3 linked regions of the Kluyveromyces lactis genome follow. The protein of the gene in region 3 interacts with the protein of the main gene of each other region in a pairwise test. Links are inferred from orthologs where the notes say so. Each region holds a gene or a part of one and is shown on either strand. Other genes may lie near its edges. The genes, in order: NVJ2, ABP1 and RVS167.

What was found.
Region 1: the proteins of RVS167 (region 3) and NVJ2 interact in binary tests that used the Saccharomyces cerevisiae proteins (3 or more experiments, as listed by UniProt). The link is inferred for Kluyveromyces lactis from reciprocal best matches to the Saccharomyces cerevisiae genes RVS167 and NVJ2.
Region 2: the proteins of RVS167 (region 3) and ABP1 interact in binary tests that used the Saccharomyces cerevisiae proteins (3 or more experiments, as listed by UniProt). The link is inferred for Kluyveromyces lactis from reciprocal best matches to the Saccharomyces cerevisiae genes RVS167 and ABP1.

The regions. Positions count from the first base shown.
Region 1 is NC_006039.1:1,364,318-1,368,437, reverse strand, and holds NVJ2 (Nvj2p), read right to left. Parts: upstream 2,951-4,120; coding exon 599-2,950; downstream 1-598. Other genes in the region: protein kinase MEC1, read left to right, coding at 1-558. UniProt on the Saccharomyces cerevisiae protein: During endoplasmic reticulum (ER) stress or when cellular ceramide levels increase, induces contacts between the ER and medial-Golgi complex to facilitate non-vesicular transport of ceramides from the ER to the Golgi complex where they are converted to complex sphingolipids, preventing toxic ceramide accumulation.
Region 2 is NC_006042.1:943,850-947,680, reverse strand, and holds ABP1 (Abp1p), read left to right. Parts: upstream 1-1,449; coding exon 1,450-3,180; downstream 3,181-3,831. Other genes in the region: KLLA0_F10198g (uncharacterized protein), read right to left, coding at 487-729; KLLA0_F10153g (uncharacterized protein), read right to left, coding at 3,333-3,831. UniProt on the Saccharomyces cerevisiae protein: Regulates ARP2/3 complex-mediated actin assembly. Recruits ARP2/3 complex to sides of preexisting actin filaments, which may promote nucleation or stabilization of filament branches. Binds to actin filaments, but not actin monomers.
Region 3 is NC_006041.1:279,944-283,373, forward strand, and holds RVS167 (amphiphysin), read left to right. Parts: upstream 1-1,599; coding exon 1,600-2,886; downstream 2,887-3,430. Other genes in the region: CIN10 (Cin10p), read right to left, coding at 1-644. UniProt on the Saccharomyces cerevisiae protein: Component of a cytoskeletal structure that is required for the formation of endocytic vesicles at the plasma membrane level.

The sequences.
Region 1 (4,120 bases), on a different chromosome or scaffold from region 3:
GTTTTATATCAGTGGTTTCTTGACAACTTCCCGGATCCAATCACATGGTATAACGCAAGAAATGGATTTGTCAGATCTTACTCTGTTATGGCAATGGTCGGCCATATATTGGGTCTCGGGGATAGACACTGTGAAAATATCCTTTTGGATGTCTTGACAGGAAGAGTCTTGCATGTTGATTTTGACTGTCTTTTCGAGAAGGGTAAAAAGCTTCCTGTTCCAGAAATTGTTCCATTCAGATTGACGCAAAATATTACTGACGCATTTGGTATTATTGGAACGGAGGGTACTTTCAAAAAGTCAAGTGAAGTTACTCTAAGAGTCATGAGAAACAATGAAATAGGTCTTGTAAACATAATTGAAACTATTATGTATGACAGGAAAATCGATGAGTCAATACAAAACGCCCTTAAAGTTCTTCGAGACAAAATTAGAGGCATTGATGCCCGTGATGGACTGGCTTTGAGTGTTAGTGGGCAAGTGGAAGCTCTCACTCAAGAATCATGTTCGGTGGAAAATCTAAGTAAAATGTATATCGGTTGGTTGCCTTTTTGGTAATTATTCCTTAAAATCTATGTTACAATTTTCTACAAAGTTTCTAGCGTGGAGGCAATGGAGGAGGAGGGCGTTTTTTCCGAACCTGTGCGTTGATTTCCGGGATCATGTTCTCTGCTTCCTCGAGAATATCTGAAGATGTGATGGAATGCGGATTCAGGTTTTCATTATTTGTAAATGAGTAGCTCATCTCATGTCTCCTATAAACATCTGGAGATGTCGGGGAGTAAGACCCAGATGTTGACCTGGCTCTTGTTCTGTTAACAAACATCTCGGCACGATGAGACTCTGAAGTGTGATGTGAAGTCTCTTGTTTTGAATTATCAATGGATGAATTTTTGCTTCTAGGAACTCTTCTATTGGTTATCATTTCTGGAGTTGTTGGCTTTTCAGTTGTTTTAAAAGATGTCTCTACTTTCAAAGAAGATGCAGCATCAGGAATTGAAGCTTCGTTCTCTAGTAATTCAGATTTTTCGGCTACTTTAGTACTAATGACCCCAACTTGGTCTTCTGTACCCTCTGGTTCATCTGGATGATGAAGTTCTTCGTCACTATTCAACGATTCTTTCACAGTGACTACTTGCTCTTTATACCATCTTCCGATCTTTTTCATACCTGTTTGCAAGTACCTTTTGGTTGCGTTTGAGTTTGTTGAATCAACTGAAGACCTAGATCTTATAGATACATTTGAATCATCGTTACTTTTATTTTTCAGGAATGATCGAGTACTATCCGTAGACGTTTGTGGCTGATCTGTGTTGTACGATTCGTTAATGGTGCTTTCACTTTCTTCGACGGTTGGTGAGTCAACAGCAGAGTTAGTCGACTGCCGTTCGGCTAAGTTGGTGTTCGATATGTCATTGTTCTCGCGAACAGAAGACCCTGTGTTAAATTGTCGCTCACTTTTGATATATTCAAAGTCTTCGGTATAACTTGTATCCTTTTTTTGTTTCGTTGATTCCCAGATACCTCCTCTGTACAATTCAGATGGCGTTTTGTAAAATACCATATCATCCATGTAAGGTAACACAATTGATTCTTTAATTGCTTCTTTGAATTTGGATTTAATCATATTAGTTACCATGTTGTTAGACAACTGCCTAGTACTAACCACCGGTTCGACATCGATGTCCAATAATGGTTCAGTTTGGAACGCATACCAAAGCCTGTTTGTTGGAGGTGGCTTGATGAGAATTACTATTGGACCCTCCACTTTTTTAACGGTAATGGAAAGCTTTATATCCATTTCTCGCTTTTTGAACCTTGAACCAAGGTTGATATTCATCTTAGTAGCTATAATCAAATGCAAATGTCCGGTGTACAAAAAATCAAAGGAAACCCTTGTTTGTCCTTCTGGAGTTAAATCAAGAAGTTTTGGATTTGATATCACTGGGGCACTATTCCCCACGGTAACTTTCTCTATACTGAAATCATCCAATAATCCCGGTTTATTGATTTTCTTCAACTTCTTATAGATCCGTTCTCTTACTGCATTAGACAACGTTTCTGTTTGTTGTAATGATAAGAAAAGTCTCCCAATGAGTGCATTGAACCACTGGGAAGAATGCTGCCCTTCAGTAGAGTTCAAAGTCTGTATCAAATAAAGCATATCCTTAGTCTTGAAATGAGCAGTTTGAGCAGCATATTCTGCAGAAAGAGCTTTCTCAACTTCGAAGTGAGAAGAGTTTACCGGACTTCTTGGACCTTTCTCCATCTTTGTAGCCTGTATCAAAGCGAAGTACCAATCTTCTTTATCTGTGTTTAAATCCAAGTATATGAAGAATTGATCTGAGGGACCACCTCTACGAAATTGAAGCCGATTAGACTGATCCATATATGCGGTATGTTTCTTCCAAATGGAGATGCATGTTTTCTTGGTAAACAAAGAACCATCTGGAATTGGTGTATCGTCTTGAGGAGAGACGGTTCGAGGCCATATTGAAATAAAGGCATCACTTAAAACAATAACTTGCTGCGGTCCTGCCTCAGGTGAGAAATCTTTATAAAGAAACAAATTGCCATGTTTCAAGACAGCGTAGAATTTGTCCTTCTTCTTCAACTTATCCCTAGTTCTTTGCTGCTCTGCTGACGGAGGTGTGGTGTTAGACTCTGCGTCATCAGTATTCTCAGTTTGGTTATCAAGATCAGTTTGATGAGGATAAAACTGCCTCGTAATATGAAGGTAACCCTGCTTCTTGGTAGCAACACCTTTCAATTCATTCAAATCACCTGCTTTGAAACTAGAATCCACATCAACGACCAGCTTATCGTTTTCTTCATTTTCGACATCTTTCTTGGGTGAACTAGTCAGATAGAACACTATAGCAATAGTAATCGGAATGAACGTTAAACCACCGAACACATATACAAAAATGAAACCAGCTAAAGATGTCATCTTTACTGAAGAATTGGTGCCCTGAACGATGGTGAGAGATTGGTTAATGTTGAATTTCGTTGACAATTGACTCTATACTTCCCCTTCTTTAACTTAATTTGATCGATATACAGCACCTTTGAAACGGGTTTTTGCTTTCTGAAATTTAAAAGGTAAATAGACCTTAACGTTAAAAGAAGTGACAAAGAGGCTTGAACAGAAGAGGATTAACATTTACACTTACGGTAGAGGACCAAGAGCTACTTAAGTTAGACTTATGGAAGATACTACCAGGAAATTTTTAACAAGAGTACGAGTATATGCTAAACAAGATGAATTTTTTATGATATATTCTTTCTAAATCAGAGTCATTAAATCAGTTTTTTCGTTTGTGTGTTCATTGAGATACAGTACTTAAACTGCACTCTTAGACAGTGTGAATATAAGAAAATCATCACGAAAAGAAGAATATAGTTTAGTCAGTTTTAGTTAACTTTTATTCGTTGGTAGGCATGCACATGAAAGGATCGCCTGTTTTAATAAAGAACAAGATGTTCTCTTTCATTGTGCATGGGGCATCAGCCGATGCCCGCCCGGTACCTCGCATAAAAAGAGTGCATGAGGAAAAAGTATCAACATCAGATATCTGGCGACCATTCATCAATTCTCCCGTCACCGACATCCTCAAAATTTTGTACACAGAGAACGCGACTACTGTTTCTAAAGAAAACAGTGATGATGGGATACTAAATATGTCCGCCCGGTCGAAAACAAAAGTCATCAGTTGTTGAACTTTTTTATTTCAATTACATGGAGCAACTCGTTGATGCAAAGAGAATGAAGGAAGTTGAACTCCCCGGATTATTTTCTGTTCAGAGGTCGTAACCCCTACCAGGGACTGATACAAGATTTCAGAAAGGCGTTCCAGCATTTCTTAAGTCTTATTTCATCTTAGGTGCTCATACAAGGCTGAAACTTAACGATAAAAAGAGATTGTCGACCCGTAGTTATACAACTATTCAGTCGGAACAACTGGTAATATTCTCACATTAATCACCGCAAACAGAAAATAAAAAGGGAAACAGAACACATATTTGTTCTCACTTTCTTCATTCGCTGTCCGCCTGGACAACAACTGCATTCAATCAGAGAAACTCCCACAATTTGAAAAGAAAGCCACAAAAGTTCTCC
Region 2 (3,831 bases), on a different chromosome or scaffold from region 3:
TTTTGGCTAACACCCACAATTTAGGAAGGTATCGCATAGACATAGTCACGTGATACAAATTCCACACATGTATTTTCTTATGAAACGACACTCAAATGGGCAACTGACCGTCAGTTAGCGACAATTGATTGTCCTTATACATAGCTTCGTTGTATAGTTTGTTTGAAAAGCCTTAATCCGTCCTCCCCCCCATTTTCTGTGATATTTTCTTGCCGAAATAGGATTCTAATGCTCCACTCAATATGCAACTTCGGTGATAACTGCTAAGTGACAAGTTTCGGACATTTTTATTTACATCTTGCGTCATAAAGGCCAAAGGAACGGGGAAAAGCCAATTTAACAGCTTCAAAATCGGATACAAGTTCTTTTTGCAGTGGAGAAAAAGTAGTAGATGGTTTCGAATAACCAAGTTCGTCTGTAACCCCACCATCGTCATCAGCCGCGGGGGAAAAGGAACCATCACCGGTAGAAATAAATTTGTTGCCATTACATATACGCCCATAAATCGATGAAGGCTTGTATTAAATCGTATTTTGACCATATATGATATTTACTCGATCTGAATCTTGTCCTTGGGTTCGATAATTTCTTGTATAATCTCGAAGAAGGCCTATTTTTCAAATAGTGCGTCAGTGAATACAAACCTGCCGGTATCGATATTATCGATTTCGGAGCTTGTCTACCAGTACCTTTCTCAGAGTTGCGATGGCATAGTTTCCTAACATGCATATATGAGAATCATGAACGTGGAAAGTCGTTCCGGGATCAGTTATTGTGGTAAGGCCCCCATCATTATAACCAATGTTTAACTCAACAGTGATTTCAGCATAAGGTCCGTTTCGTAGTGGAAAATAAGCTGAAATCTGGCCGGAGAATAATTAATAGAACATCGAGCAATTTGAAATTCTCACCGACAGTTAATTTCCTGTTCCAACAGAAACATCATCACAGCTTTATTCCAAAAAATAGTTATTGATTCCTTGATAAGAAAACTCTTCATAAAGCTAATAACAGTTTTGCAATATCGTTCTCTACTCTGACCGCTGTTCATGGTACTAAATATTACCCGGTTTCATGTCAACCGCTGTTTCTCTAAATGAAATCTGCACGAATTTCTCGAAACTAAAACCACAGTTCATATTCCGGGTAACCTATGAAATAAAATCTTGACAATTGTCTCCTATTCGCCATGAATGCAATATTTGAACTAGGTTAAATTATTAAACATGAATCAATCCACTGCTGTTTGGTGGAATGATTGTACCATCCTACCTTTATATATATTTAAACAAATATAGAAATATCTTAAGACAAGAATTCTGCAAAGTCAATTGAATTAGTGTGTGTTTTTGCCAATTTACCAGACAAATTTGAGGTGCATTACGTTCCTTTCTTGTTGTTATTGATCTTAAGTTATTATAGGGTTATCAGTCTGGCATAGCAATTACGATGGCATTTGAACCAATTGACACTACTACACACTCGCGTGCCATTGAGGCCGAGTACCTGAAGGTTGTGAAGGGTGATCCAGATACTACTTGGTTGATCATCTCGCCAAATTCTAAGAAACAATACGAACCTGAACTAGTCGGTACTTCTTTCAGCGAGTTTTTGCAAAGTTTCGATGATACCAAGGTTCAATACGGTTTAGCTCGTGTTTCTCCACCAGGTTCTGATGTTCAGAAGTTGATTTTAATTGGTTGGTGTCCAGATTCCGCTCCATTGAAAACCAGAGCTTCATTTGCTCAGAATTTCGGTGTGATCTCTAATCAAGTGTTTAAGACCTACCATGTTCAGGTTACCGCCAGAGATGAGGATGACTTAGATGAATCTGAATTGTTAATGAAAATCAGCAACTCCGCTGGTGCCCGTTATTCAATTCAACAACAAACACCGGCCTCCAAGAAGCCAATTTCCTCTGCTGCCAAGACAGCCAAGAAACCAGTCAGTGTTTCATCCAGACAATCTGAGCAAAAGGAACCTACACCATCGTTCCCATCAAGAAGATCCGTTTCTCCCCCAAAGACTGAGAAGAGCAGAGGTAAGAAGGACGATGAATGGGGTGAACCAGAGTTGGAAGAACGTGATTTCGACAAGAAACCACTAGAACCAAATTCTTCTTCCTGGAAACCAATTGGTAAAGTTGATCTACAAAAAGTGATTGCTGAAGAAAACAGTAAAGAAGATCCCCGTCTAGTTGTTTCGGGGCCTAATTACGACAAAAAGATTGATCCTCAATCTGAGATTGCTAAATTAAAGCAAGAATCCAAGCTAAAGAGGGATGCAGAATACAACAAAGTCTTGGGACCAAAGAGTTCTTCCTCAGCTCAATCATCAGGAAACGATAGCGACGATAAGGTGATCAAGGGTTTCAAGAATGAAAAGTCACCAGCTCAACTTTGGGCTGAAAAGAAGGGACAAAAGAAACCATCTAATTTAGAGAACAAGACCCAAAGAGAAGAGTTCTCAGATTCTAACGAAGAAGAAGAAGCTGAAGAAGAGATTGAAGAGGTCAGATCAAAATTTGAATCAATTAAAACTAAGGAAATTCCTATCATAAAACCAAGTGACTCTAGCAGATCTAGACCTCAAGCTTCTAAGATCAACTCATCTGACAGCTGGACCAAGAAACAGAACAAGTTTGGCCAACCACTACCAGGTCTGCATGATCAAAAGAAGGAACAAAACGATGACTGGAGTAGTGATGAGGAGGAACAAGAAGAAGAGGAAGAAACTCCAGCTCCTTCGTTGCCTGTGAGAAGAAATGTTCCTCCCCCACCCGAAAGCGATGAGGAGGAAGAGGAGGAGCAAGAGGAAGAGGAAGAGGAAGAGGAAGAGGAAGAGGAAGAAGCTCCTTCTCTACCAACTAGGAGAAATGTTCCACCCCCACCGGAAAGTGACGAGGACGAAGAAGATGATGATGAAAGAGCATTTTCTAAGTCTCAAAATACTCCTCCATCTCCAGCACCAAGAGCATCCAAACCTGGAAAGAAAGAATCCGGACCATCAGCTATTGCTGAATATGATTACGAAGCCGGCGAAGATAATGAATTGACTTTTGAAGAAAATGAAAGAATCATTAATATTCAATTTGTCGATGATGATTGGTGGTTGGGTGAACTTGAATCATCAGGTGAAAAGGGTCTATTCCCAAGTAATTACGTCAACTTAGAGGAATGATCCAATAAATTACCACTACTCTAACTTTATCATTGTTAATAAATGATGATGTTATAAGTTGGTGGGACTTTGAAATGAATATATCATGTATACTTTACAAGTAAATAATGTTAAAGAAATAAAGTACAAAAGTAAACTAAACAAAAGTCTACTTATTTGCCTTTTACAATTTCAAAGTTCATATCTACTACGCTCACTTCTTCTCCAGCATCGTCATCATAATCATACCATTCGTTTTCGTCGTCTTCAAACTGAAACTCCATTTCCTTCTTCGAAACTAGTTCAGCTACAAAAATAGTGTCAGCAGGTTCAAATTTAGTTACTTCACATCCTCTGCAGTCAAGCTCGAGCCAAACAGCTTTTTCCACAGGAACAGAACGTAAGCCAACCTTCTTTCTGTCCTTTTTACCCTGTTCAATCAATTCGAAATTAGATTCTTCATCTAAATTATATAAGTCTTCCTTAGTCCTGGTCAAGTTTATTGAACACTCATTGCCACAAAATTTACATTTCATCACGAACGAGGCATTTCCTTTACTTCCAGGCATGTCATGAGATTCAAACCTATTGATTCTAATAGGGGAATCGTGCTCCTCTCTACAGCTGGTACATACTAATTTGAAGGTATATTCAGCTGGTGATTGTTCTGTA
Region 3 (3,430 bases):
CAGGCTGCAGTTGATTGAGGGTGGTCATTGTCAATCATGAAATATGCAATGACATACGCCGCAAATTGCCCGCCAGTGATACTTATAGAGTTTAACGTAAGCATGGTGCCTCTTATCTTTGCCGGTGAAATTTCCGTTAAATATATTGGAATGCATTGAGCTGCGATGCCAACGGCTATACCAACGACCAGCCTACCGGTGACTAACATCTCGAAAGTGTAAGAAACTGCCATTAGCATCGATGAGGCAGCAAAAATGATGCAACAAACCGTTAACGTGTGTTTCCTACCGCATCTGTCAGCCAAGGGGAATGCTATTATCGATCCTATGAATGAACCAGCACATGTTATAGAAGTGATTATTTCCTTTTGCCAAATTTCCAAACTATGAAAGTTTAAATCCTTTGGATTCATTGCTATTAAAACCCCAGAAATTACACCAGTATCGTAACCGAAAAGCATCCCACCAATTGTCGAACTAACAAACATAATACCCGTCCTCCATGTGAATGGGTATGGTCGTTGTTCAATATCATTTGCAGTGGTGGTGGTCATCTGAGAGAAAGTGGAGTACAAATCCGAATACACATCTTCGACACTGCTATCTCGCTGCGGTGAGGAAGATCGTACAATATCGTCCACCATAATACGGTACCAGGTTAAGAGAATATATGCTGGATTTTGCTGTCCAACGGATTGTAAGAACGCCGCTCTATGAACAGATCGGTGGGATATTACAGCAAGTGTTTAAAGTTTGTAAATCTTTGTTCGAGCCTTGGAGTCAGAAAATGGTTTAAATCCCATTCGGTAATTTAAAGTGTCATTTACTATATTAAGACATTAAAATGAAAAGAGGACAAACAACATCTCCAATGACAGTAACTTCTCGAAACTACTTGTAATATCCATAACGAAACAACCGTTATGTAAAAATATACCTAACTTATATCCTACCAAGAATCTTGCTGCACTTTATGTACCTTGCTCCACAACTATTCTCAACCGAAGGGTACATTGACTATTAGCCTAGAGTCAGCAGGCCTAAAAAAAAACAAGGTCAAGCTTGCAGCATATTTGAGTGATACGCACTCAAATTACAACCAATAGGAGAACCAATGGGCGTTAATAACAGTATAGACCATCCCCTTAACTTTTCACAAGCCTACTGCTCAAATGCATTGGGCCAATTTCCGATGAACTAAGCCAAGCCTTTTTCCTTTCTGTACGCTTTTGCCGATGCACAATACAATTTCAAAAAAATTCAAACTTTGGACAATTTCAATTTCATCACTTTGGAAGGGCATGTAAAAGGGGCAAACTTGAAAGGCAACTGAAGCGGTATATATATCTAATCAGCGTGTCAACGAGTTGTCTGTTAGAGCAAATCTGAACTTAAATTAATCTTTCGAAGGACAAACAAGCGTCTTTGTCGAGGGAAAGAAAGTTAATTTATTATAAGGGCAAAGAGAGAGAGCACTCAAATAAAAAACACGAAGAACGTGAATTTAAACAGATAAAAAGCGTTAAGTTTTGAAGTTTAGAGCGTATACAGCGAATAAGAAAGCAAATAACAATCAATATATTTTCCCCCTAGAGAGTCATGTCGTTCAAAGGTTTTACAAAAGCTGTCGCCAGAGCACCCCAGTCTTTTAGGCAAAAACTGAACATGGGTCAGCAGACTGTTGATCCTGTTTATGAGGATGCTGATCGTCGTTTCAAGGAATTGGAATCGGAAACGAAGAAGTTGAGCGATGAGTCAAAGAGATATTTCAATGCCGTGAACGGTATGCTAGAGCATCAAATTGGATTTTCTAAGGCAATGTCGGAAATTTTCAAGCCAATTAGTGGTAAGATGTCCGATCCCAATGCCGCTGTGCCAGAAGACAATCCAGAAGGTATTGAAGCGAGTGAGCAGTACAGTGCAATTGTTTCTGAGTTGCAAGCTACTTTAAAGCCTGATCTAACTCTGATTGACGAGAAAATTGTTAAACCAGCACAAGAGCTTTTGAACATTATTAATTACATTAGAAAGATGTCCACCAAGAGAAACCATAAAAAGCTAGATTTGGATAGGAGCTTGAACACGTACAACAAATATGAACAAAAACAGAATCCAACGCCAAAGGATGAGGAGAAAAAATATAAAGCCGAGGCTCAAGTCGCCGTAATGCAACAAGAATACGACTACTACAACGATATGTTGAAAACTGAATTACCTATACTTTTCCAATTGGAATCAGAGTTCGTGAAACCATTATTTGTTTCATTCTACTACATGCAATTGAATATCTTCTACACCTTATACAACAGGTTCCAAGACATGAAGATCCCATACTTTGACCTGGATACTGACATCTTGGAGGCATTCCAAGCTAAAAGAGGCAACATTGAAGAGCAAACAGATGCACTAACCATTACTCATTTCAAGCTGGGATACTCGAAGGCCAAACTAGATTTAACCAGAAGAAGATATGGTGCTACTGACGACTCAAGTCCTGGAAGTCCAATGAGCCCACCCGCATACGGCCAAACATACGGTCAGCCTGAACAGCCACAACAGATGGGCTATGACTCAAAACTACAACAGCCGCAACAGCAACAACAGTATCCAATCGGAGGTGTTGCAGGTGCCGCTGGTATCGCAGGATACAATTCGGTGCCCACCACTGCGACCCAGGCATCATACACTCCTCCCACTAGTGCAGGAGTGGAGACATGTACCGCTTTATACGATTACACGGCCCAAGCCGAAGGTGATTTGACGTTCCCTGCTGGTGCCATAATCCAAGTCGTGGATCGTTCCGATGCAGCAGGATGGTGGGTCGGTGTCTACAATGGCGTCCAAGGTGTATTCCCTGGGAACTACGTCGAACTATCGAAACAATAATGAAAACAAAAGAAAACTAATCTCTTGGTCACTTTCCATTCCCTTTCTGCTGTGTATAGACTGAACTTGAAAAAAATAATAAAGCAAAAGAAAAGCTCTCCTAGCCTGTAGTTACTATATACTCTAACCTTGTTTAATTCAAGAATGCCCCATAGCTTTTAAAGGATACAGAATGCACATCACTATCGACGGAATTGACGATATTTGGTCACCTGGCAATAGTCAGACATTGCTTCATGGAGACGAAAGGGGTTCGTCAGAACCCCTGTCTACATGCCCCTATATTTCTACACATCACCAGTAGCAGAGCCAGCCACTAAAATCACACTGGTTTCCAAGCACACAGCAGGTAAGATGGAAAAGAATTCCATGAGAAAGTACACTAAGCCTTACTGCAGGAACAGAAAGAGATACGTCTCTATATATACTTAAAACCAGCTATGTATTTCAATGCAACAATTAGCTCCCACCATCACAACTGCTCCCACTGCAGTGCACACAACCAGAGCCTGAAAGCCCCCTCCCTTCAAAATACTTTGGATAT